Coturnix japonica: one gene and its partners. The main gene of each other region encodes a partner of the protein of the gene in region 3 in a complex. Links are inferred from orthologs where the notes say so. Each region holds a gene or a part of one and is shown on either strand. Other genes may lie near its edges.

Evidence for each region.
Region 1: the proteins of HDAC2 (region 3) and SIN3B are in contact, whole or in part, in a cryo-EM structure (PDB 8BPB), measured with the Homo sapiens proteins. The link is inferred for Coturnix japonica from reciprocal best matches to the Homo sapiens genes HDAC2 and SIN3B. Residues at the interface, in NP_001518.3 of Homo sapiens: Lys9, Asp19, Gly21, Asn22, Tyr23, Tyr24, Gln27, Gly28, Pro30, Lys32, His34, Arg37, Tyr46, Gly47, Arg50, Lys51, Lys59, Thr66, Lys67, Tyr68, His69, Ser70, Asp71, Asp100, Asp105, Gly106, Glu109, His142, Lys144, Lys145; in NP_056075.1 of Homo sapiens: Ile397, Gly398, Ser399, Ser400, Tyr401, Pro411, Lys412, Cys413, Ser414, Gly415, Arg416, Thr417, Ile419, Cys420, Glu422, Val455, Leu456, Asn457, Trp460, Val461, Ser462, Phe463, Pro464, Ser465, Trp466, Ser467, Glu468, Asp469, Phe472, Lys476.
Region 2: the proteins of HDAC2 (region 3) and MORF4L1 are in contact, whole or in part, in a cryo-EM structure (PDB 8C60), measured with the Homo sapiens proteins. The link is inferred for Coturnix japonica from reciprocal best matches to the Homo sapiens genes HDAC2 and MORF4L1. Residues at the interface, in NP_001518.3 of Homo sapiens: Gln93, Arg94, Asn96, Ser146, Glu147; in NP_996670.1 of Homo sapiens: Pro355, Glu356, Arg359, Lys360.
Region 4: the proteins of HDAC2 (region 3) and KBTBD4 are in contact, whole or in part, in a cryo-EM structure (PDB 9GGM), measured with the Homo sapiens proteins. The link is inferred for Coturnix japonica from reciprocal best matches to the Homo sapiens genes HDAC2 and KBTBD4. Residues at the interface, in NP_001518.3 of Homo sapiens: Gln27, Gly28, His29, Pro30, Asp100, His142, Gly150, Phe151, His179, Lys201, Gly203, Glu204, Tyr205, Phe206, Gly208, Asp231, Gly269, Asp270, Arg271, Leu272, Gly273, Cys274, Tyr304, Arg307, Asn350, Met351, Thr352, Gln354; in NP_060565.4 of Homo sapiens: Cys290, His291, Ser309, Arg312, Arg313, Trp326, Pro329, Pro331, Arg332, Asp333, Arg334, Thr355, Gln357, Ser361, Ala363, Val373, Trp374, Thr375, Glu376.
Region 5: HDAC2 (region 3) and CHD4 share a complex: the UniProt entries of both Homo sapiens proteins name them as parts of the nucleosome remodeling and deacetylase (NuRD) repressor complex. The link is inferred for Coturnix japonica from reciprocal best matches to the Homo sapiens genes HDAC2 and CHD4.
Region 6: the proteins of HDAC2 (region 3) and PHF12 are in contact, whole or in part, in a cryo-EM structure (PDB 8BPB), measured with the Homo sapiens proteins. The link is inferred for Coturnix japonica from reciprocal best matches to the Homo sapiens genes HDAC2 and PHF12. Residues at the interface, in NP_001518.3 of Homo sapiens: Gln27, Tyr202, Gly203, Leu212, Arg213, Pro228, Met229, Arg230, Thr356, Glu358, Tyr359, Lys362, Ile363, Arg366; in NP_001028733.1 of Homo sapiens: Met21, Gln25, Met298, Asp299, Cys300, Leu301, Glu302, Pro303, Pro304, Leu305, Thr306, Ala307.
Region 7: HDAC2 (region 3) and CDK2AP2 share a complex: the UniProt entries of both Homo sapiens proteins name them as parts of the nucleosome remodeling and deacetylase (NuRD) repressor complex. The link is inferred for Coturnix japonica from reciprocal best matches to the Homo sapiens genes HDAC2 and CDK2AP2.

Annotation. Positions count from the first base shown.
Region 1 is NC_029543.1:3,324,330-3,328,429, reverse strand, and holds the start of SIN3B (paired amphipathic helix protein Sin3b), read left to right. Parts: upstream 1-1,300; 5' UTR 1,301-1,383; intron 1,384-1,806; 5' UTR 1,807-1,890; coding exon 1,891-1,913; intron 1,914-2,415; coding exon 2,416-2,569; intron 2,570-3,242; coding exon 3,243-3,506; intron 3,507-3,839; coding exon 3,840-3,983; intron 3,984-4,100.
Region 2 is NC_029525.1:17,834,149-17,837,648, reverse strand, and holds part of MORF4L1 (mortality factor 4-like protein 1), read left to right. Parts: intron 1-1,180; coding exon 1,181-1,206; intron 1,207-1,628; coding exon 1,629-1,717; intron 1,718-2,019; coding exon 2,020-2,121; intron 2,122-3,096; coding exon 3,097-3,185; intron 3,186-3,500. UniProt on the Homo sapiens protein: Component of the NuA4 histone acetyltransferase (HAT) complex which is involved in transcriptional activation of select genes principally by acetylation of nucleosomal histones H4 and H2A.
Region 3 is NC_029518.1:58,978,486-58,981,985, forward strand, and holds part of HDAC2 (histone deacetylase 2), read left to right. Parts: intron 1-2,474; coding exon 2,475-2,616; intron 2,617-3,500. UniProt on the Homo sapiens protein: Histone deacetylase that catalyzes the deacetylation of lysine residues on the N-terminal part of the core histones (H2A, H2B, H3 and H4).
Region 4 is NC_029520.1:20,340,139-20,342,321, reverse strand, and holds the end of KBTBD4 (kelch repeat and BTB domain-containing protein 4), read right to left. Parts: intron 2,128-2,183; coding exon 1,267-2,127; 3' UTR 501-1,266; downstream 1-500. Other genes in the region: PTPMT1 (phosphatidylglycerophosphatase and protein-tyrosine phosphatase 1), read left to right, coding at 110-241. UniProt on the Homo sapiens protein: Substrate-specific adapter of a BCR (BTB-CUL3-RBX1) E3 ubiquitin ligase complex which targets CoREST corepressor complex components RCOR1, KDM1A/LSD1 and HDAC2 for proteasomal degradation.
Region 5 is NC_029516.1:69,352,268-69,356,293, reverse strand, and holds the start of CHD4 (chromodomain-helicase-DNA-binding protein 4), read left to right. Parts: upstream 1-1,226; 5' UTR 1,227-1,318; intron 1,319-2,153; 5' UTR 2,154-2,217; coding exon 2,218-2,314; intron 2,315-4,026. UniProt on the Homo sapiens protein: ATP-dependent chromatin-remodeling factor that binds and distorts nucleosomal DNA. Acts as a component of the histone deacetylase NuRD complex which participates in the remodeling of chromatin.
Region 6 is NC_029534.1:4,690,379-4,694,520, reverse strand, and holds the start of PHF12 (PHD finger protein 12), read left to right. Parts: upstream 1-1,342; 5' UTR 1,343-1,692; coding exon 1,693-1,758; intron 1,759-2,033; coding exon 2,034-2,215; intron 2,216-4,142. Other genes in the region: SEZ6 (seizure protein 6 homolog), read left to right, coding at 19-51.
Region 7 is NC_029520.1:566,350-569,330, forward strand, and holds CDK2AP2 (cyclin-dependent kinase 2-associated protein 2), read left to right. Parts: upstream 1-1,422; 5' UTR 1,423-1,550; coding exon 1,551-1,620; intron 1,621-1,811; exon of another isoform or gene 1,812-1,849; coding exon 1,850-1,926; intron 1,927-2,022; coding exon 2,023-2,155; intron 2,156-2,241; coding exon 2,242-2,309; 3' UTR 2,310-2,481; downstream 2,482-2,981. Other genes in the region: CABP2 (calcium-binding protein 2), read left to right, coding at 290-424, 513-622, 716-863, 1,024-1,049; PITPNM1 (membrane-associated phosphatidylinositol transfer protein 1), read left to right, coding at 2,857-2,934. UniProt on the Homo sapiens protein: Acts as a component of the histone deacetylase NuRD complex which participates in the remodeling of chromatin.

The DNA of each region.
Region 1 (4,100 bases), on a different chromosome or scaffold from region 3:
GCTGGGAAGGGGTGGATCCTGGCTCCACCCCTCCATCACTCAGCAGCACTGCTTGCACCTGAGCTCCCTGGGTTGGCCCTGCCTTCCCACCAGGTGTTCCAACACTGTTTCAGGCCATGACATAGCATTTCCACTACAAATATCAAAGCCAAAAGCTGAAATCCCAGCACTACAGCTCTCAGCAAAGGGTTCAAATAGCAGTCAAGTTAATTGCAAATTCAACCCAAGGTCTCTATGAGACATCCCTATGGTGTCCTATGGAGAAACAGACAGCATAGCATACTGGTTTCCCTCTCTCTCATGTAGCAGTAGTGGTCCAATTCAACAGAGTTCAGTTGTCTGCTGGGAAAGGAAGCAGGGGACATGCATTAGGGGAAGCCCAAAGTTAGGGATGTACATTAAGCCCTTTGCTCTGTGCCTGGCCCCACAGGTGCCTTGCTGGTGGTGCAGCGCATGCACAGCACTGCTTGTAGGATCATTCCCCAATGCAGATGGGTTTGTGGCCACCACGAGGCTGGGTCGCATCATTTGTGAGAGGTTCTGTCGTCCCACAAGAGCCTCTTCTCAGCACACCACCACCACAGCTCTGTGCAACGACATCAGAGGGAGGGACAGGAGGAAGTGCAGCACACAGCAGTGTGACCAAGGAAACCCTTCTGGGAGCCTGATCTGGACCGACACGCTGTCCCACATCTGCTCGGTGCTGTAAAAGCCAAGATGAATAACCTGAAACAGCACAAACAGCCGCTCCCCTCCCATCTCATCTCATCCCATCCCATCTTATCTCATCCTGCTTCAGAACGATGTGGTTGAGTAGCCCTGCAGGTCCCCTCGCCTTCACAGCACGAGCCACCGCTGCCACGTACCACAGAACGAGCGTGTAAGATCAGCGAATAAGCAACAATAAATAAAGACGGTGTTTGATCCACAAATGCCACAACGGGCGCTGGAGCTCAGTTTGTGCCCTTTAATCGCGGCCCAATAGGAGCGGCCACCGCGAGGGCCCCGGGCTCCCGTACAACGTCCGTCCGTCCGTCCGTCCGCCACCCGCCGCTGCCCGTAGCGGTCCCGCATTGCTCACCCCGCGCAGCCCCGTCCCTCCCTCGTCCCGCTCAGGTTTCCCCGCCGCTCCCGCCGGTGCCGCTGGAAGGGCCGGAAGCGTCGCGCGGTGCGGGCGGTTCCGCTCCGGGCCGGGCCGGGCCGTGGCGCCGTGCGCGCTGACGCAGACGCTCCGCACGCGCTGACGGGGGGCGCGCGGCGGCGGCGGCTCCGACTCCCAACATGGCGGCGGGGGGCGGCGGCGGCGGCCGGGGGGGCAGCGCCCCGCGATGGGGCGGCGGCGGCGGCGGCCGGGCCGCGGCGCAGGAGAAGCTGCCGGTGCATGTGAGTGCGGAGCGCGGCCCCCCGGGATTCGTCCCCATCCTCGCGGAGGGCGGCGGGGAGCGGCCCTGCCCGCCCCGCCGTGACCCGCCCCGCCCCGGTCCGGCGCCGAACCCGCCCCCGGGGCCGCGGGGCGCCCCTCTGCTCCCACAGCCCGGGGCGCCCCCGCCTTCCCCCCCCCCACACTCGGCCCCGTTCCCCACCCCCGTTACCGCGGCCTTCCCCCACCATCCTCCCGTCCCCTGATCCCCCCCTCGGTCCCACAGTTTCGGTGCCCTCAGCCCCGCTCCGGTATCGCGGCGTTCCCCCGGGGTCTGTTCCGTCTCACCGGCGCTCTCAGCGCGGTGGGGGTGTCAGCCGAGGCCTCTGCAGCGCCCCGGGCCTGTGCGCCCCCTCCCCGGGGCCTCAGTAGCATCCCGCCCACAGGTGGAGGATGCGCTCTCCTACCTGGACCAGGTGAAGATCCGCTTCGGCAGTGACCCCGCCACCTACAACGGCTTCCTGGAGATCATGAAGGAGTTCAAAAGCCAGAGGTAAAGCCCGGCCCGGGCTGCCCCGGGGCTGTCTCAACCTTGGGGGCTTCCTCAGCCTTCACCCCATGGTTCCCCTGTCCTTGCTGGCCCAGTTGTTCCACGCTGGAGGTGATGGAGGAGGTGTCCATCCCAGTGCCGTCTGCTTCCTTGTTTTCCAGAGCAGAAATCCATGGGAAAAGAACAGTGTGTTTTTACATCCTGCTCTGAAACGCAGATTTGGAAAAACAGATGAAGAATTTTAAGAGTATTGCTGAGAGCTCTCAGTCTTTGTGTGGTGCCCATATTGGGTAACCTGCATGTTCTTCTCTATGGAGAATGTTCCCAGTGGGTGGCTGCAGTGGATGCTGCTCCTTCCCTCTGCCTGGGCTCACTCCTAGGTCTGAAGATTCCAGACTTGTTTTTGATGAGAATGGCATCTGGCTTCTCACCTACCTCTGTAGTTTTTTGGCCTTAAGTTGTATTTCTGACATAACACAAGTAACAAAATTCTTCTCAATTTTAGCATCGACACACCCGGAGTCATCCGACGCGTCTCACAGCTGTTCCACGAACACCCCGACCTCATTGTAGGATTCAATGCTTTTCTCCCTCTGGGATACAGAATAGAAATTCCAAAGAATGGGAAGTTAAGTATACAGTCACCGCTGACAAGTCAGGTAGGTTATAAAGCTCACAGTACTCCAAATAAATCCTATTAATATATTGCTTCGCACATCTCTTGCGCTGTTTAGGCTATGTACGTTTGCATGTATTGCACATTGCAAAAGTTCTGACCTAGTTTTTAAGATGTGGTAAGGGCTACAATGTAAAACTGAAATACATCTTGTGTGTGATGGTTGGGTACACATTGGCCTCTCCTTTTTTCTTGTTACTGTGCAGCTGTGGAGGCCGAAATAGAGTTCTTACTGAATTCTGCTGATAAAGTTGTGGTTTAATGCTGATTAGTAGCAGTATGTATCTTTCAGATCTTTCTGTTGCTCAGGAGTTTAATGTTTCTTAAAACTGACATAGAACAGTGGTAACAGGAACTGCAGCACACATTACCTGGTACAGCCTCACAAGTGTGGATAATGCAGGGACAGTCAAAAGCAGCAGTGAGTCAGACTGTTTACCAAGTCAGATATGGCTTATGGGTTTGTTTGTTTTTAACTCGTGGTGTTAATAACACAGGGAAGAAAATGTATTAGCAAATTAAATCTTTTTTCCCCCCCACATTTATTTCTTCATGTGGTAATCTGTTTTAGCTAAACATTTAAAATATCAATGCTAGGATGTAGTTGCACCTGTGTTTCAACACGAGTCACTGTCTTGTATGTCTTATGCCACTAGGTGCCCTCAGAGCCTGTTCCCAGCGCCCTCCCTGGCAGCGGGCTGTTGTTGCATTACTCACAGGAGAATTCGCACAACCACAGTGACTGTACTGAGGAGTTTAGGCACCAGCTTCCGTACAAAGAAGATAAATCCCAAATCCCTTTGGAGTCCGATTCTGTAGAGTTCAATAATGCCATTAGCTACGTGAATAAGATCAAAACGCGCTTCCTTGACCACCCAGAAATTTACAGATCCTTTTTAGAAATTCTTCATACTTATCAGGTAAAAAGCCTTCAATGTAAGATAGATTATGGGTTTGTGGTGTGGCTGCTTGAACAGCTATCAAATGAGACATCAGGCTTTGTGCAACAACTGCCTCATAGATATTCATATGAAATGACAGAAGTGTGAAAACTGTCGAACCTCCTGGGCTCTGAGATGCAGAGGGGTTGTACGTGGATCTGTCTTCAATAACCTTCAGCTGATGTAGTGATAACCTGTGGGATAGGAGCCTTGGACTGTCTAATAGTTATATGAAGTTTATGTTGTGTTTTTATTTTGGCTGCTGTGAGTCGTGTGTTTGTATCTGTTTAACATCTGTGTGTATCTTTTCAGAAAGAACAGCTTAACACTAAAGGTCGACCCTTTCGGGGCATGTCAGAGGAAGAAGTATTTACTGAAGTAGCAAATCTGTTCAGAGGCCAGGAGGATCTCCTCTCTGAGTTTGGACAGTTTCTTCCAGAGGCTAAAAGGTCTTTGGTATGTGTATGCTTAAAGCAAGGCAGAATATTTAATGCTGCCTGTTCATATGTAGAATGCATTATGGAAAGACTCACAACCTGTAGATGAAATTCACTTCTCTTCACTGCTTGGAAT
Region 2 (3,500 bases), on a different chromosome or scaffold from region 3:
GGTCATTCTTAGAGTATTTTATGTGGCCTGCCTACACCTCTTTGCTAAGACTCTGCTAGGCTGACGCTCTAAAACTGTTTTCTATCCTGACAGCAATTTTCTGAACTCCATTTTTGCTTGTTCACTGTAGGTTTGGAAGGAAAGACACACAAGTGTCACTTCACGTGGTGATGAGCTTCCAAAGAAATAATAATGTGCTGCTACAAAGCTTTATCTCATCATCTGGGATCTGGCACGCAGAATTTCTTTTACTTTCTGAGGGGTTTAATTGGACTCCTGTTAATAATAAACAAATGGGAACAAGGCTGGTAATGCTCTTAGTTCCAATTTTCTTAGTAAATGAATAAAATCAGTGAATATACCAAGTTCAAATAATGAAAACCTGCTAGGGCAATTTAATTTTTGTTTCTAATATCTCTGGACTTATCTGAATATTTGCATATAGCAGGCATTGCATGGCAGGTGTCTGTAAAATGTTTGCACGTAAGTTTCTCAGTATGACCCTCAGTTTGGAATACAAATGAGGACTGGGGGAAGTTTGAAGTATGTACAGCACATTTTGGGAGCAGCATCTGGAAGAAGATAAATATTAGGGACGCTGCTATTCAGTGTTGTTCCAGATGTTACGAGTGAGAGGCATTGTGATCTCAATTGTGATCTCCCCTGAACTTTGATGCCATGATAGGCAGTCCATGCAATTTGATGCACACAATGAATTCTGATGGTGCTGCTGAAGCGGTGAAATCATTCTTCCAGTACTCTGCAGGACAGTCAGTTGGCTGAGCTGTCTGATGTTCCCTTGTCCTTTGTTCTGTCTTTGAGAGATCTCTGAAATGCTGAAATAGCACCTCTACAAGCATTTGGGAAATACGAAGCATTGGTGAATGTTCCTGGGTAATGATGGCTAGGAGTGCTTTAAGATGCTTGTTTTTTGGAACTACTCATGGCCTGTCTTCTGTAGATTTGAGTTGAATTAATCCCCAAAAAGAGAACACCACCCTTTGTTCCACAGGAATCTTGAAGCATCAGTATTATGGTGGTAAATAATCTCCTTTTGTTGTTTTCTAAATTCTTTGTAGGCCCCTGAGTGTTTGTGGATCTGAACTTACTGTACTTCTGGCTTTCAATTCGTTCAGTACTTTCATTTTTATGTTTGCAATAATTTGTGTTCTTCTTGCAGGAAAACAAAAAAGAACAAGCAGAAAAGTAAGTACATCTTTATTGTGTGTGTAAGTGGATATACTTTGTTAGGGAAGGATTCTTAGCTGGAATAAGACCTTAAATCTGCCCCCACTGAGTTTAGTTCCTGTCAACTTATGGTGCTTCTCCTGGACTTCAGGTGTCTCTTCTGTATTATTTGCTAGTTAATAAAACAGGACTGTATAATTTGCTGCTTTGTACATGGACTCTTCCAGTCTGTCATGATTTAGACCCCTTGGAAATAGAATGGTATTCCCATTGATCTGCTGAAATAATTCTCACTATTAAGTCAAACCTCAGTTTTCATACTGGGATGGGACATGTCTGCATAGCTGAGTTGTTGGTTCCAAAAGTTCCTTTTTTTTTATTGCTATTTCTTATGGCCTTACCAGACTTCTTACACAGCACACTGTTTCTCTTCTGTACAGCTCCTGGAATTGGAGAAGGGAGCAGCAGCAGTGAGACTCCTCAGCCTCCTAGGAAGAAAAGGGCACGAGTAGATCCAACAGTGGAAAGTGTATGTGTGTATGATTCTCCTACAGGATTTTTGATGGGGAACAGAAGAGCTGCTTTGCTCAGAAACACAGACAGCAGTGCTTTATCCTGCAGTATGGCGGTGTGAATTGTTACAGCTTCTTGAAATGCTAGGCCTGCCAGGTGGCCTTAAAACCTGAGCTATTTCCCTGCTCCCCCAAGAGATGACTTAGCAGTTCTTTACTCCTGTAGTGTATTTCCTTTGTGGAAAGGATGGGATGAGTGCCTTATCTCAATTGGTTATCTGAAAGTAATTAGTGTGAATCCACTTTCTTTTTTCCCCAGGAAGAAACATTTATGAACAGAGTTGAAGTAAAGGTGAAAATCCCAGAAGAGTTGAAACCGTGGCTGGTAGATGACTGGGACTTGATCACCAGGCAAAAACAGGTAATTTTAGAATTCATATCTCACTTGAGTGCAGTGCAGCAAAATCCCTCATAGAGTTTGACAGAAGCCTTACTTGACAGTTCTGGTTGCAATTGGATTTTACCTGAAGGTCATCTGTGAGTTGGACTGTGCAGCAGAATTGTGTGCAAGTTTGTAGACTGTAATCAGTCTAATTGGGCATAAGCTCAATGTCAAGTAATTACAAGTTTTGTGATGTTCCTCTAAGCGTGTTTGGCCTATTGGAATGCCTTGAAAAGTTTGCTTAGGTGACAGAATTAGTCTGTATGAGCATTACAGGTGATGTTCTGTCCTGTCTTGTTTATGCATCACTCATTCAGAAAGCAACTGAAGCATCTACAGCTCTGACTAAATATGGTCTTAGAATAGTGATTTTTAGCTGTGCTGCCAAGCTGGATCTGTATAAAGACTCCTGATAGAGCAGTTTTGCCTAAAATAAACTGTCTTCCATTGTAAGAAATGTAATATTTTTTCAGGAGCTTGTTAGTAAGTGAAATGACTTTGCATTCTTCTTGCCAGTTGTACTAAGTGTTGCTGAAAACTGTTCATTATTATTGGTCCCAGCAGGTGCCCAGCAGGTTTGTTTGCTACCAGTCCTGGGTGCTGAACTGGATGCAGGAAGCAAAGCAAGAAAAATAGTAGTCCAGGCTGCTGCTGCTTGTACAGGCGTGGTCTGTGGCCTGGTGTAGGCAGGTGTGCTGACATCTGTCTGCTTTGCTGCTTACCTTTGATTCTTGGGTTGCTTTAATAGTTCATCTTCAGGTTGATTTTAAGTTGCAGAAATGCAAAATGAGAACATGAATGTGGCTGCTGTTAGGTGTCTTGATGTGTACCACTGAACCAGCTGGAGTTTTAGCAATGCTTTACACACTGACTTGTTAATTTTATTCCAGAATATCTGTATGTCTATCAGTTTAAGTTTGTCAGTTTGTATTTTCGGTTTTGTGTCTTCCACAGCTCTTCTATCTTCCTGCCAAGAAGAACGTTGACTCTATTTTAGAGGATTACGCAAACTACAAGAAATCTCGAGGAAATACTGATAACAAGTAAGTAGCAGTCAGTTCAGATCTCAGTTCAGATCTCAGTGTTGTCTCGTTGTTGTTGGATGTCTCGTTCATGAAGAAACTTGCAGAGTTGTTAATCATACCTCAGTGCTGTGCTCAGCCTGGTATTTGAGACCTAGGTGGTCCAGGCCTTCAAGGACACCATTCAAGAACACAGTCCTACATCCAGAACATTTGCTCTCTCCCTGCGTTCTGCCCCTTCCCTGGCACTTTTTCCTAAAGGAAGCTGTTGAAGCCACCTCGGTGGTTCTCTACCCATTGTCACCCAGTGAACAGGAGTCTACTGTTGCTTTGAAT
Region 3 (3,500 bases):
AGATAGCTTTGAAACACGTTCTTAAAGTACTTTTTAAGCACAAGGGTAGTGAACTTCTAGATATCACTATTACAGGAGCTTGAATGAAGCTGTGGGTGACATTAGATTGAAAATTAGACATGTTCTTGGGCAGGAGATCTGTAAATGGAAGCTAAAGAGATCTCATTGCACTTTACAACTTCCTGAAGGGAAGCTGTGATGAGGAGGGGCTTGGCCTCTTCTGCCAGCCAACAAACAGGACCCGAGGAAATGGCCACAAGTTGTATCAGATGAGGTTTAGACTGAACATAAGAAGGAACTTTTTTTCTCAGAGAGTGGTCAGGCACTGGAATGGCCTGCCCAGGGAGGTGGTGGAATCACCATCCCTGGCAATGTTCAAGAGACGTCTGGATAGGGAGCTAGGAGATATATATGGTTTAGTAGTTTTCTGTAGGTATGGTAAAGGGAGGACAGTTGGACTAGATGATCTTGCAGGTCCTTTCCAACCTTGTGATTCTATGATTCTATGAAAGAACCAAGAGGTGATTCACCCTTGAAAAATATCGTATGTTGTAATTATAGATGTTGGGTAACAGGTCTTGGAAAATGGATAGGCTTGCTTTCTCCTGTAAAAGTTGTCTTCTGTTGCTACTCATGGAGACAGAATAGTGGTCGAGAGCTTTGGCCTGACTAGTGGTCACTGAAGCCTCAGGTGTTTTGTTCTCAGTCATAGACCTATTTGATCTCTCAGTTATGCCCTTTTATTTTCCATCTTTCAGGACATTGCTAATAAACAGGAATTCTAAGGAAAATCATACACTGAAATTTCTTGTGTTGTTACATAAGTTAATGTGGCTGTTAAGAAAACAATGAAATAACAGCTGTGCTGCTTTGGTTGTAGAGTAATAAATGAAGAGGGGAGTAATGCAGAATTGATCACAAAACTACCTTCAAGCAACAGTGCGTCAATAAAACCTCAAGTCGTTAATATTAGTTACAGTATTTAATGGGACTTTATCTCTTCTAATCGCATAAGGCTTATTTTTTACAAAAAACATTGGCATTTGACTGCTTGGCGGTGGAGCAGCTGAATATGCTGGTGGCAGGCAGTAGAGGGAAATAGCTGTAACTAGGAAGTAATTTTAAAAATGGAAGAAGTTGCTGGAGGCACAGGTATTTCATATTAAAGCATTCATTTTAATATGCATATATTGAGGATATAAGGAGAAGCTGAGGGAGTTGAGGTTCTGCATTCTAGAGAAGAGTAGCCTCAGGGGGAGGCCTTGTGGTGGCCTTCCAGTACCTAAAAGCGGGCTGGAGGGAAATTCTTCATCAGGGAGTATAGCAATAGGACAAGGAGTTATTAGGAAGAAGTTATTTACTGTCTGGGTGATGAGGTGCTGGAAGAGGTTGCCCAGAGAGAGGCTGTGAATGCCCCATCCCTATAAGTGTTCAAGGCAGAGTTGGATGTGGCTTTAGACAGCCTGATTTATTGGAATATGTCCCTTCCAATAGAAGTTGTAACAAGGTGATTTCTTCCAGCCAAAACTATTGTGATTGTCTCTACCATCTAATAAAAGCAATATGGTTTTTCTGTGGTCTGGTTTTGAATACTGGTTTTAAATCTTGTATGTGAAGGAAGTAAACTTCAAACCAGATATGGGTTATATCACTGCAAGAAGCTGTTCTATTTGGTATCTTGTTAAGAGAGAAAGATCTTAGCACACAGGAAACTGTGGCTGCTCTGTAGTTTATAGCACTGAAAAATTTGGTGAAAGTGTCTTCTGATGGTGATAGACTTTATTCTTTACTGAACAGCACAGGATTTAAGGGTCGTTTACTGTAGTTTTTAGTGCTCTTGCCATGAAGCAGCTTTCTTTATTCCTCTCAAATAAAATGATCAGAAACTTGCACTATTCAAAGAACTGTTAAGCCATACTGTGGTTTTATGTTAATGGTAAGTACAGTTGGAAACAAGAACATGCTTATATCTTTTAGTCTTTGCAGAGGTGAAAAAGGAGATTTGATGGAAAATAAGTCTGCAAAAAATGATATTTTAATATTTATGGAATATGGATTATACCTGCTCCTGGCACTGGTTCTTCAAAAATTCTTGAAAGGCATACACTTCAAGTTGTTTCATTACAGAATGTTTTGGCAATCATTGAGAAACTAGACAAAAGTGTACCATGAAAGGGGTAAATTCAAAGGATCTGGACAACAGAAATTGGTATGAACAGGATTAAAAGGTAAAACTACTCCTGACTAGGACAACTCAGTTAAATATTGAATGCGTTGCGTGATAAAAATCTCTTTAAGATGAGCTTATTTTTACCATCATCCAAACTGTACTGATAATTCTGAGATTTATGGTAACTTCAAAATTATAAACTTTATCATAATCTGTGATTTATTTCTATTTTTCTTTGGTAGGTATTGATATCTTATGGACATAACAGAAGATTGTGATTTCACATGTGTAATTTTCTTTCTAGGTATCACCAAAGAGTGTTGTATATTGATATTGATATCCATCACGGAGATGGTGTGGAGGAAGCTTTCTATACCACAGACCGTGTCATGACTGTGTCCTTCCATAAGTATGGTGAATATTTTCCAGGCACGGGGGATCTTAGGGTAAGATTGAGCATGACATTTCATTGTGATAAATTCCTTCTTATGCACTTCCGTGTGGATTGTACTGCTTTCACAATTATACTCCATAATAACATGTATTTTCTGTAAAGTTACCATGTTTGTCTGGATTAATAGTTGTGTTGAGGAACCTTAGGAAGAAATACTGGAAGCAATTATGCTTCCCTCTAGATAAGTTAAGCCAACACTTTGACTTCTGGATATATTGTCTGAGCAGTGTGCTGCACTTGTAATTACAGTCAGTACCTTTCAGTTCTGCAGATATAGAGAAAAGTAGGTCTTTGTACATCACAGGGTTTCAAATCTTAATTCAGATCTTAAAATAAATGTATACAATAGTTTTAGTAGTCACAGTATTTTTCATGCAACTTTACTGTGTTAGATTTGCTTAGTAATACAGTTGTTTTTGTTTTTTTTCTTGTTATTTCTTACGTTAATAAGGTACATTTTGAATTCTAATGCTTCCCACTGCTGTAAAACATCAGCATGCTCCACAGGTGATTTACTAACAGTACATTTAACTTGAAGAAGGGAACAACAGACTGTGAAGCATTATTATCTAAGTTGCTGGTGGATCTCAGTCACAGCTGAGAATGGAAAATAATTTGCCTGGCTCTTAAGATTTTTATTTTTTAAAGTAAGTTAAGCCATTCCTTCTATTAGACTCTGTCTCATCAGGACAGGAAGTTGTTCCACTTTGCAAATTGAAATATCATTTCACATATGAAGATTAATATATTCTTCACTTGATACTCTTGCTTTCAGCTTCTCTGTGACAGCACTCCAAGGATAAATCAATTCCTTGTTAACAGCTTTGTTACATTAGTTTGTACATGCACTTATTATATTGGTAAAGTAATAAAAAC
Region 4 (2,183 bases), on a different chromosome or scaffold from region 3:
GTGAGTTCCTTAACGGTGCTAACATTGCCTGTAGCATCCAGAGGGGGCTCTGTTAACTGGTGCACGGATGGTGCATGGATTTTCACTTCCAGGGTTTCTGCCTTTTCAGCTGCATCACTGGAGCCCTCAGGAAGCAATAGAGGCTATTGCCAAGATCCGTCCCCACATCCTCATTCGGCGTAAACAAGTCCAGGTCCTGGAGAGTTTTCACAAGGATGTTACTGCTGGGACAGCTGCATAGTGTTGGTGAGAACTACCAGAATCTCAGTCTCAGCTCCTTTAAGTGTTGTACTTTTCAATGTTCAATAAAGATATTTTTACATAAGTTATGGTAAAAGGAGAGTTTGGGCTGTTTCATTACAACTTTTTTTCCTTATGGCCACTTATTTCTTGGAGCACTATCATTCTCACTCACACACAAGCGATGGGCTGAACCACGATCCATGGAAGGCTCTGTAATACTGTACTGTACTGTAATACTTGCAGCCAAGAAAAGAAAACTTTGTCTCAGCAGAGACTTTATTCAGATTCTTACCCAAGGGGTTACAGTGCCAATAGAGAGGGGTAGGAGGAAGTGGTCTTAATTCCATCTTTTACCAACAGTATGTTATGATTACAGGTGGGGGTTTCCTGTACAGTAAAGGAAGCCAATGCTCATAAGAACAATCTCCTTTATGCTTGGTGATGACAGAGCAACAAGCAAACTCCCAGTCTGTTACCACTCCTCTAGGAGAAGTGCTGAATAACGCAACCTACTTGGGGTCAGCTCTGGAATCTGTCTGCTGTAACTTTCTGCCAGTCTCTCCTGCAACAGGGACACAGGAACGTTTAAGTGGGGACATCCCTGGAGGACAGACAGCACAAATCTAACTCTGCGACTGACAGCCGCAGCAACACGTATTCTCCCAGGCAGTTAAAACTTACCGTCTGTGCCAAGGATGATGTCCTCCATATGCTATAGGATTTGTGGACGGGTTCCAAGCTAAAAAAGCTACTTGCTGTGGTTTGGGCCTCAAACACAAGCAGCTTATCGTCAAGGGATCACAGTAATAGCATTTAGTCCATCTGAAATCTAAGATGCATCAGTTCAGCTTTAATAGTGCTATCTAAAAGAACAGGCCTGTACTTCCTCTGTGCAGATGGGCTCTTTACTGGATGCTGTGAGCTTGTAGTAATTGGGACTGGTGCTGAGGGTGGTGGGTACGTCTGATCTGTGCAGCAAAACACCATTGCTGCCTGTCTTACTACTGGGCCTGTTCTTCCCCATTAGGCCAGGACAAACTGCAGGTTAGTGAGCAGCACTTTGATGCCACTTGTGACTGTTACAACAGAGGTGGCTGGGTTAAGTTTAAAAGTATTTGCATCGCCCTTTTTATAGCGGTCTCGAAAAACGTAGATGCTGCCATTGCAGCTGGCAATCTTCCACAGGGACGGTACTGAGCTCCAGGCATCTGGCAGGCACAGCCGAGTGAAGCTATCCAGTAAGGGATTATAGCAAAGCAGCGAGTCCCCCTCAGCTACAATGAACACCACATCCTTGTGGACAGCAGCATGCATGCGCCCTGCAAAAGGCAGTACGTATGGTTTCACGTGGCATTTCTCCGTGTTGGTATCATAGCACTGTATAAGCCTAGAAGGCTTGGTGAAGAAGTCCAAGTCATTTTCTTCCCCGCCCAGCAGGTAAATGACACCGTTAAGATTTACACCTGCAGCCCCAGAGACAGCCACCTCCAGTTGGCTGGTCTCTGTCCAGACATTGTCTCGCACTCTGTAATATATGACAGCATTAGAGAGAGTGTCTTGCAGAGTTTTGCCCCCAAGGGAGTATATTGCATCCTTGCTTGGCACGGAGACAAGAGTGTGCTGAAGCCGGTCACGGGGCAGAGGGGCACACCATTCCCAGTCTATAGTTGCATTGTTGCATTTCCACATGCGTCGTGGAATGGAGCCACCGACAACGTATAGGTCACTACCATGTTTGCAGGCAGCTGTAATCTGGTGACACAGGCTGTTCTGGCCACTCACACTGATGGAGTCATCATCAGCACAATGCAGAGAGACAGCGAGTGAATGTGTTCGTGATGACTCCTTTCCAATCAGGTAGATGTGAACATTTTCTCCGATCACCTAAGAAACAAGGAATTTATCAGTCTTAGCAGAACTAGACCTTTTTACACGAACAT
Region 5 (4,026 bases), on a different chromosome or scaffold from region 3:
GAGAGAACCAACGCAATGCAAAGGGACAGAGGACAGGGCGGCACCTGTGTAAGGCAAGAGGTCAGAGGGCTGTGTAGGCAGGGTTGTATTAGCAGGGCTCCATAAGCACACGAAGGAACACAATGCAGTTGGGCTCCACACCGCCCAGCCCATCTGTGCTAGCGGCACAGGGTGTGCATGGAGGAACGGCTGTGTGCATGGGCAGCGCGGGATGCTGCGGCGGTGCTCCAGGGGAGGAGCCAGCAGACACTGACAGCCATTGTTCATGGGCTGAGGTGGGCAGGGCTGGGTGCCCGGCGAGCTAACGGAGGTGCCATGGGGCGAGCGGTGCCATACAGTGACCATTAACGGCACGGCGACGTGTGTGCAATTAGGGCGTACGGGCGAGGCGATGGTGCCAGGTGTAGGGCAGCAGCAGGGCGCAGAGCAGGGATGCCCCGCATTCCTTTAGGACGGGGACAGCTTTAGGGCGCTACCACGTTGTGCACCTCGCGTTACATCCCCGACGTACGGTCCAGCAGCGGCAGAGGTCACCGGGAGACCCACACTCAGTGCAGCCGGTGGCTGCTTGACCCGGGGGACCGTACCCGGTGTGAGCCGGGCGTGCGGGCTGGGACACCTGGGTGAGCTCTGAGCTCTGAGGCCATGGCGGTGCCCCCCGCGGCCATGGCGGTGCCCCCCGAGGGCCCGTCCCGCTGCGGGCGGGGCGGTGTCGGAGCCCCGCTGCGGGTATTATGGGATGGCAGGCTGGCCGGTGGCTCCCGGCGACTATTATGGGATGCCTGCCCGCGCAGGGGGAGGGGAGAACTATTATGGGATGCGTGCCCGGGGTGTGACTATTATGGGATGTGGAGGGGATCGGCTGCTTAAACCCCCAGGAGGTGTCCGTGGAGGGGGGGGTCCGGCGTGGGTATTATGGGATGCCGGAGCGAGGGGTTAGAGGTGGGGAGTATTATGGGATGCTCCCGATGGGGGGGGGGAGGGAGAGAAGGACCCGAGGGGGGATAGAGGGCGAGTATTATGGGATGCTGGGCCGGGCGGCGAGTGGGAAGTTCTGAGGGGAGAGTGAATATTATGGGATGTCTCGGCTGGGGGGGGTGTTGCCGGGGATACGGGGGCGGGGTCTGTTGCCAGGTTCACGGGGTATATTATGGGATGGAGGCGGGAGTGGGGTGGAGCCTGCTTTTTTTTTTTTTCTTTTTTTTTTTTTTTTTTTTTTTTTTTTCCCCTCTCCCCCCTTTAAGAGGCGGTGCCGGGGCCGGAGCCATTTTCCCTTCAGCAGCGGCGGTAGCGGAGCGGAGCTGCCGTCTGGAGCCGGGTGAGGATCTGGGAGGGAACGAGGGCGGGCGCGGCCTCTCCGCCGTGCCTCGCGTTGTGCCCGCCGCCCCGCGGGCTCTCCCCGGTGCCTGTTCCCCCGGCCGCTTTTCGGTCGCGGCTCGACCCGGGACCGCGGCGGCCGCGGGACGCTGCCCGCCCCGCCTCCCGGCGCGGCCCCGACGAGCGGCCGCCCCGCCGTGCCCGGCCTTACCGTGCGGCCCCGGTGTGGAGCCGGCCCCGCGGAGAGCCGGACCCCCGCCGCCCGCCGGCCGGACTTTCCCGGCCCCGCCCCGCGCCCCCGCCGAGCCGTCCCCCGCCCTGCGGCCCCGCTGCGCTCCGGGCGGGGGAGCGGCCGTGGGGCCTTTTGTGTCGGTCCCGGGGGCAGCGCGGCGGGCGGCCCGCCAAGTTGGGTCGGGAGGGCTCCGCCGCCTTGCGGGACCGCCGGCCGCCGCCCTGACGGAACGCCGGGCGGCTCAAGGAGCCCGTGGGAAGGCCGGCTCCGCTCCCCGCCTTCTCCCAGGCGAAGGTAGAAATAACCTAGGGCGCTCATTCCGGTCTGGCACCGGCTGCGGGAGGCAGGAGGATGTTCCCTATAGGACAGCTGTTTTGGCTCCCTGTGAGGAATGAGTTGCTGACTCAGTTTAACGTCTGCTGTCTTAAAGCCTGCTTCATCACAACTCTGATGTGATACCTGCTGCCAGAGTACATGTTATCTGGCGGCTCCCGGTGTAATGAAATCATTAAGCTTTTTCTCCTGAATCCTTTTGGTTGCACTATTGCTTGGGAAACCGCGTTTTGCATCTGCTATAACTTTCTCTTAATTCTTTTCAATGAAGTACTGGCTTCACCGGCAGGAAGGCAGCACTTCTGTGAGCCTGGGCCTCCCCTGGTTCAGAGGATATGGCATCGGGCATCGGATCTCCGTCGCCATGCTCGGGGGGCAGTGATGACGATGAGATGGAGATCCTGTTGAACAACGCTATCCCCCAGCATCAAGGTATTGAGGGCCTGCAGGGCAAGCGTGCGAGGTGGGGTAATGCTTTCCTTGGGCTGGATATGTGGAATAAATGCTCTGTGAAGGAATGTCCCTTCAGCTAGGAGTTAATGTATGTTTTTGATCTTTACTATTGGAATCCCAGTTCCAAGTGTGAGGCTCGTGGCTTTGTGTCAGGTGGAGCAGACTTTGTTCCGAGATACCATAGGTTGTCAGTGGGGGCTCATGCTCTGGGAAGGAGTGAGCAGTCAGTGTTATGTCTTAATTTTGACCAAAATGTCTGAGTTTCATATTCCTGGATTGGGGGAGGTGGCTGTGTATGTGAAAGGGGAGGATGTCTGGCTGTTTCATCTGGGATCTCAGGCTTGCTGCTGTCCAGAGCAAACTGCCCTGGGCTCTTGCATGACCCACTTTTTCTTTGCCACACCCAATTATTGAGGCTTCTGGTGGCTCGTTTTCTGTACTGCCTACTCACCTTTGCTTTTCTCATAGTCTTTGTACCTTACCTTGTTGCCTTGTCCCTTTTGCTTGCATCCTCATCTGCATGAGACTGGAGTTAGAGCCCTGGGTACTCTGCTGTTTTGAATGTTATTGATGCGTGCACTAAGGAAGCCATAAGCATCGGGCTTCTCTGTTTCCTTGCAAAAAGAGGTTGTATGTATTCTGATGTGTTGGCCTGTTGAGTTTTCCCACCAAGACATGCCTGTTGTAGTGTTGTAATATCAAATGAGAAAACGTTACAAGTGGAGAGGCAAAATGTTGTGGAAGGCTTGGCTTTTTTTTAGGGTATTGACTTGAGCTGCATTTGGTACCTCTTAGGTAGAGGGGAGATGGTCATTAAGCCTTGTGAGGGAAGCCTTGTTGAGGAAAACAAACTGTTAAAATCACTGCAGACCTGAAAGCTTTAGGGAAAAGCATTGGAAGGGGTGGGATACTTAAGCTCTGAATTAGCTGGAGAAGGTGTGGAATCCCCATATGAGCTGGTGTTGCAGGACTATGTGAGCAAAGACTTGCTAATTAGTTGGCACGGTGGCAGGACTGCAAGACCCCAAATTCCGAGGGCTTTACTTCTGCTCTGTCTGCCTGCTGCAGCTACCTGACCTGAGGCTGCCTCCATCCTGCCCAGCTCCTGTGGTCAGGAGGCCATTTTCCCTTGGAGGGAGAAGGAGTGACTCTGGCTGTGTGCAATGGGCGGGGCGGCAGGGGAGAGCGAATGGCTGGGCTGCTCTCTGAGCCTGCCACAAAGGAAAGGGTTGCCCGGCTCTCCCTGGGGTTGGGAGAGGTAGGGGCACAGATGGAAGGGATGGTGATGGGGAGTTGGCTGCTTGTCCCTGCGCTGGGCGCTTGCTTGCTAGCTGCTGACAAAGAGGGAAGGGGTGGAGAGAAGGCTATATCAAGTCTGGATTAGAATTGAGTTGCTAAGTAGCGGCTTACCTATGGGGAGGACAAGTAGTGGCTTGCTCGACTGTGTTATGAATGTATTTTAATGTCTGTAAGCTGTAGGGTACTCTGTTCTGGTGAAAAGAAGAACACTTTTTTTATTCTGGAGGACTGAAACGTTATCTTCAGGTCTCAAACATACTTGCTAAATGTACTTGCTGCTTTAATTCCTTTAGTTATGGTAATCTACTCTGTGCCCTTCCCTCTTCTTATTCAGTTAGAGCAAACTTCTGGTCCCTAGGAACTGCTCAGTTGGGAGAAGGAATGTTGTGGAA
Region 6 (4,142 bases), on a different chromosome or scaffold from region 3:
GTGTCCAACCCCTCGCAGTCTGTTTTCTTTGCAGGAAACGAGGGAATATGAGGTGTCCATCTAGGCGAGGGTGCAGCAGACCCCTCCCAGGATGCCCACGCCCACCGGCCCTCGCCATGGTGCCGGGGACATCTCTCGCAAGGACATTCAAGCGGGAGCCACCCCACACACACCCCAACCCGCCTGGACCCCCGTGGGGTCTCCCCCAGCCCCACTGCCCCCCGATCCCTGCTCTGGTTGGGCACGGGACGCTGAGCCAGCAGGACTCCCTGGGCCACATCCTGACCCCCCTCCCAGGAGCAGCAGTCCCCTCCCCGGCCCCAGCGATGGAGGAGTGACCCCTAGATGGGGCAGGCGCAGTGAGGAGCCCCCGGGGCTGCAGCCTGAAGGTGCTGGGGGGAAAAGGGGCCAGGTCGCGGGATGGGGGGCAATGGGGCGCCCTGGGGGGGTTAAGGAAACCTCGGGGTGCCCTCACCCTCCGCCCACCCCCAGCACCCCGATGTCTCCCAGAGCCATTCCCGTTACCCCAAGCATGCTGCGTCCCTCCGCTGCCCCCGCAGCACCTGCTCGCTTCCTCCTCCCCGGGGGGGGTGCCCCCCATCCCTGCACGTCCCGGCATCCCACGAGGGCCGGATCCGGACCCCCAGCCCCACGGTGACGGGGTGGGCGGGGGGGGGCACTGAGCATGGCTTTGTCGTCCTCCCCCCCCCCGGACCAGGTCACGGCTGGGGCTGGGGGTTCTGTCCCCGGCCGATGTAACATAGGGTCCCATTCCCCAGCCGCGCGTAACCCTGTTTTGGAGAGCAGCCCCTCCCCCTGCGCCCATCTTTTGGTTGTTTCATTAATAATAAAACAAAAATGGTGTTTTAGAAGAAAACGTGGCATGTTGTTGATGAGGGGACATCGGGGTACGCGGGGATTTGGGGCAGAGGGGACCCCCTGCATCCACCGACGTGCACCCCCCCCTCCCCTCTTTCCGGGTGCACTGTAGCTTTAAGAGGCGACGGCGCGCGGAGCTGGAGGGAGCGCGCCGGCGCGCCAAACGCCCCGCTGTGCGTCATGACGTCATCACGCCGCTCTCTCTCTGTCTCACCCCACCCCGGAACGTGACGGTCTCCACGCGCCCGATGCGCATGCGCGAGGGAGGCGCGGGGCGAGCCGGGCGCGGGAGGCGGAGCCAAAAACTCGCGCATGCGCGGTGCCCCGGCGCGCGCGCCGCCTGAGCCGAAAGCGGGGGATGGGCGGCTGCGCGTGCGCAGTGGGAGGCGGGCGGCGGGGCGCGGTCTGCGCGTGCGCGGGCGGCGCGGCGGCGGCGGCGACGGAGGGACCTGAGAGAGAGAGAGAGAGAGAGAGAGAGAGGAGAGCAGGGCGGCGGGGCGGGCGGAGCGGGCACAGCGCTGTGAGGCGGCAGAGCGGGGCCGGCCCCGGCCCTCCTGTGTGCGGCATGGCAGCGGGAGCGGGGCACCCCGCAGCCTCCCCCGGGCCCGGCGGCAGGAGGTGGAGGAGTCCCGGCCGAGCAGCGCAGCGGCCCGTGGGTTAGGCCTCGCCGCAGCCCGCTCCGTTTGAAGGCCGCCCAGTGGGGCTCCCGCTCCCGCCGCCGCCTGTCCCCGTCCCTCCGTCCGCTCCCTCGCTGTGGGGTGGTGGTGGGGGGGGGGTCTCTCGGGGCCGCCCCCCCCCCCCCAGGCTGGATGAATGTGGGAGAAGATGGAGACCAAGACGATCGTGTACGACCTGGACACCTCCGGGGGGCTGATGGAGGTGAGGGGGCGGCGGGGGCGGTGGGGCTGCAAAATGGCGAGGGGACCCCCCCAGCCCCCCCCTCTTTTTCACCATCCCCCCCCCCGGCCCCGAGCCCCGTGGCCATAGAAGGAAGTGAGGCCGCTCGCCCAATCCCCGGTGGGGGCCCTCCCGGGCACGGACGGGGCGGGCTCGGCCTTATCCCGGCCCCACCGAGCCGTGCGCTATGGGGGGCGGTGGGGGGTCAGAGTGCGGGCGGCCCTTAGAGCCCTGTGTGTGTGTGTGCGTGTCCGCAGCAAATCCAGGCCCTGCTGGCTCCCCCTAAGAGCGAAGATGGGGAGAAGAGGAGCAGGAGGCCTGAGAAGGAGCCCAGGAGAAGTGGCAGGGCCACTAACCACGACAGCTGCGATAGCTGCAAGGAAGGAGGGGATCTGCTGTGCTGCGATCACTGCCCCGCTGCTTTCCACCTCCAGTGCTGGTAAGGCTCCGTGCTCCCGCCCTCCGGGTCTGTGTCCCTGCATTGGGGCCCCCGTTAATTGCCTGCCTGGGAGCGGGGGAAGCAGACAGAGCTGTGAGCCCCGCTGTGCTCCGTGCCCACCGCTTCCCCCCTTTCAAAGCCACCGATCCGCACCTAAAACCTCATCCGGACGCCTTGGTGGCGTGGGCACGCTGACCCCAGGCCCTCCTTTCTTTCTGTGCCCAGAGGCCTAAAGGAGAAGCCAGGCCTCAGTCTGCCCGCTGCCTTCCTCCCCGCCTGCGCCCGACTTCCCCTCCTCTCTCCTCCAAACACATCCCCGTCCTCCCCAGGAGGGATTCACCTCCCCCCAGTCTCATCCTTGAGGGGATTCTCAGTGCTATCCCTGCTCTGGGCCCGGCCATCCCGGTGCTTCCGTGCTGCAGCGGCTGCTGGGAATAATGGAGGTTGCTGTCTCTGTGTCTCCCTGCCTCACTGTTTACAATATGGCGACCTTCCTTTAAATTATATTTTTATTCTCAGCGCCATTTTGGCTGCATATGTGACTTCCAAAGCCTTGCAGCTCTTCCTGAGTATCTCAGTGGTGAAAATACCTTCCCTGCAGTAATTCAGGGCTCCGGACTTTATAGATTGGCTCGGCTTATTTCTTTCCCTCCTTTTTCCTTCCCTCCTGATTCCATAGACATACTTATGTTATCCGTGTGCTGTGAATTTCGGGTTAGCCGGGCTTTCTTGCTTGGAGTTGTGCAGCTTGGTTGATAAAAGCAGATCTTTTTGCATGCAAATCTGGAGCTGGAGGTTCGTGGGGAGGAGGAGGCGGCCGTGACTCTGTTCGGTGGAGGCTGCAGCAGGGAGGGCTGTGGGGCCTCACCTCGGCCCTTCCCATACACACAGCACAAAGCCAAGCCTCAACTTTGCCCAGCAGAGCCGTGCACCAGGAGATGCAATGGGGGCTGCAGTGCTTGTTCTGCTCGCTCAACAGTTGACACAGGCTGAGGGTTAAATTAGCACAGCCAGAGTGGATAATGGAGTGGAGGAGGGAGCGGGGCGAGTCAAACAGCTGGAGCTCAGGCGTACCAAGTATTCTTCCTTAGGGGAGATTTTTTAACCACATTCCTTTCTCTCTTTCATGCTTTGGAGCTTTCTGTGTGCTACCCCATTACATCTGTCTCTATATAGATATATTTTTCCCCCTATTTCCCCCCCCCACACACACTCCCCTTTGCACGGTGGTTATGCCTCGTTTCTCTGCTAACTTCAAGTCTCTGAACACTTATTAAACTGATTGCTGATACCGGGAGAGCTGAGTGTGTGCGGTCGCAGTTGTGCAGGGAGTGTCCCGTTAGCAGCACACAGCCAGACCAGCCCAACAATGCTGTAGCGAGCAGCCATGACATCATCCCTCCTGCCCTGAGGAAGTGCTGCTGGTGGTTGGGCACATCCTCTGCACTTACTAAAATGACACCGACTTTATTTTCCCTCCAACCTTCTCTGGGCTTAAATTTAAGTGTTTTTTCCCCTTATGTTAAATGTAGTTGCTTTAAACTCGATTGTTTGCTTACAGATGCATCCCAAGCCTTCTCTTGCAGAGGCTTCACGCTTGGGTTTTCAGATGGAAGGGCTGTGACTAACGCTGCAAAGTTTAATTGACTCCGAATCCTGGCTCATCCTAACTGTAAATGGGTCCGTTCTGTGCACGGTGAAATCTGGCTATGATTCATGACTTAATTTGGCAAGATTCTTGTAGCCAGTGGGAAATGCTCATGTAAATCAGCCATGCAGAGAGGTTTGGCTGGACTCAAGTTGGTTAAGTGATAATTACAGAAATTCTTTGGTTAACTAGTCACCCTTCAGGACAGAAGCAGAAGGTGCAGCTCTGGTTATTCCTTCTCCCTTTTGTTGTTCCATTCCTTGGGCTATCACTGAGCGC
Region 7 (2,981 bases), on a different chromosome or scaffold from region 3:
CTCATGTTCTTAATGTGCTTTGTCCCCATCTTGACACCTGTTCTCTTCAGTCCCCATATCAGCACCTGTTCCACTGGCTCCCTATCCCAGTTCCCATTGTGCCACCTTTCCCATTCAGTCCCCATCTTCACACCCATTCTCTTCAGCTCCCCATGCTGGTCCCCATCTCAGCATCTATCCCTCACAGTCCCTGTCTGAGTGCTGCTCCCTTCGTCCTCACCTGCCCCCACCTGTAGGGTGCCCCCATGGCTGTCTATAGGTGTCACCATTCTCCCTGTGCTGCCCCTAGAGTTGAAACAAGCCTTCAAGGAGTTTGACAAGGACCGCGATGGCTACATCAGCTACAAGGACCTGGGTGAATGCATGCGCACCATGGGCTACATGCCCACCGAGATGGAGCTCATTGAGCTGTCCCAGCAGATCAGTAGGTGCCAGGACAAGGGGGAAGTAACCCCATATTGCCACAGTGGTACCACCCCCGCTGATTTGTAATCCCCCTTTGGTCCTTCCAGCAGGCGGCAAAGTGGATTTTGATGACTTTGTGGAGCTGATGGGCCCCAAGATGCTGGCGGAGACAGCGGATATGATTGGGATCAAGGAGCTGCGCGATGCCTTCCGTGAGGTGAGGGCTGGGGGCAGCAGGGCCGGGATTGGGGGAGGGGAGGGGGTGCAGTGCTGGGAGCACAGTGGTGATGCTGGGTCTCCTATGGGGCAGTTCGACACCAATGGGGACGGGCAGATCAGCATGGCGGAGCTGCGGGAGGCCATGAGGAAGCTGCTGGGCCAGCAGCTCAACTACCGCGAGGTGGACGAGATCCTCAAGGACGTGGATCTCAATGGGGACGGCCTGGTGGACTTTGAAGGTAAATGGGGGCAGGGTGAAGGAGGGGGGGGGGGCCCTATTGATCCCAGCTTTAACTGGGGGACAATGGAGCCATGGATGGGGGGGCCTCCCTATTGCCAGCTGTATTTGGGGCTTATTGCCGGCTTTATTTGGGGTTAATGCTGTGGTTCTTTGTGCAGAGTTTGTGCGGATGATGTCGCGCTGAAGGGCCGGGACTCGCCGCCGTGCCTTACCGGGAGGAGGAGGAGGAGGAGGAGGAGGCGGCCTTCCCGGGCCTGCGCTGCCCCTCATGGTGTGTGTGGGGGGGGAGCTCCGGTGTTGGAGCCCCGTGTCGGTGTGTTGGCAGCGCTGCCGGTTCGCAATGAAGCTGTGTGCCGCCGGGTGCCGTGTGCCCGTCCGTTGAGTGCCGGGGGAGGCCTCTGGCCCTCGCTGTGGGGGTGGGGGTGATGGGGGGGTGCAGGACGCCGCTGGTCTCCATGGTGATGGGAGCCCGGCGCGCCATGTTTGCGTATCGGCGGCGTGCGCCTCGTGACGTCATCACCGCGCTCCCCCGACAGCGCAGGCCGGCTCCCTTCGTGCCGTCGACCAATCGGCGCCGCCGGGTCGCTCCGTCTGACCAATCAGCGGGAGGTTGTGGGGGGGGGTCGCCCCGCTCGCTTCCGTCTCCTGCACACGGCGGGCGCCGCTCGGCCCGGAGCGCTGCGGGATGTCCTACAAACCCATCGCGCCCGCACCCAGCGCCAGCCCCGCCCCGGGGCCCGCAGCCACGGCCGCCGGTGAGAGGAGCCCCGGGGATAGAGCGGGGGTGGGGGGAGAAGAGGGCGTAAGGAGGGGCACGAGGCCTGAGGGGCGGCGGGGCCTAAGGGAGAGGGACGGAGAGTGCGGAGGGGAGTCGGGGCTGAGGGAGGGAGCGGACGGAGCTGGGCCCGAGCGGGGCCGGGCTGAGGGGTGACGGGCCCGGCCCCAGTGCGAAGGAAGGGCCGGACCCGGGGTCGCTCCCCGCAGCTCCCAGCGTCCCTTCGCCGTCCGCCTTCCGCCCGCTCTTCAACGACTTCGGGCCGCCGTCCATGGGCTACGTGCAGGTGAGCCCGCGGGGCAGGGGCACGCGGCGGGAGGGCGGCGTGGGGCGACGCTGAGCCCCCCCCCCTCCGTCCTCCTCGCCTTCCATCCCCTGTCAGACCATGAAGCCGCCCGGCGCTCCGGGCTCGCAGAGCACCTACAGCGACCTGCTGTCTGTCATCGAGGAGATGGGCAGGGAGATCCGGCCCACCTACGCCGGCAGCAAGAGCGCCATGGAGCGGCTCAAGCGGGGTAACGAGCCCGGGGGGCGACCCTCTGTGACCCTCCCCCCCCCTTAAGCCCGGAGCTCAGTGCTCACTCATATCCCCCCCATTCAGGGATCATCCACGCTCGGGCGCTGGTTCGGGAGTGCTTGGCCGAGACAGAGCGCAACGCCCGCACGTGACAGCAGCCCCCCGACCCCCCCCCCCCCCCCGAGCCCCGCCGGTGGCTCCCCCCGAACGGGGCCACCCCCGGGGCTCCCCCCGCCCCAACCTTCCGGCTTTTATAAATAAAGGACGTGCTGCATCCCCCCCCTTATAAAGGAAATCCTCCTTCCAAGCCCCCAATTCCCCATATATACCGCTCCGTTTTAATTTCCCGGTCCGCCGCCCCCCCGCTTCTGACGTCCCCTCTGACGTCACGCCCCCCCCCACGCTGTTCCACCTCCTGACGTCAGCGGGCGCCCCCCACGCCGTGACGTCACACAGCGCGGGGCCGGCTCAGAGCGGCGCAGGTTCGGAAGGGGCCGAGCGCAGCCGAAGGGAACCGAAAGGAGCCGAAGGGTGACGGAAACAGCCGAAGGGAGCCGAGAGCGCGGCCGAGCGGGCGGGGGGCGCGTTGCTATGGCAGTGGGGAGGGCCCGGCCGAAGCGGGCCGGGCCGGGGCCGGGTTAACGGCGGAGGGCCGCGGAGCCCCCCCCACCCCTCGCCCCTTCCCCTAAACACGGCGCCATGCTGATCAAGGAGTACCACATCCTGCTGCCCATGAGCCTGGAGGAGTACCAGGTAGCGCAGCTCTACATGATCCAGGTGCGGATGGGGCCTGGGCTGCGGCCCGGGGGGGGGGGTCGTGTGGG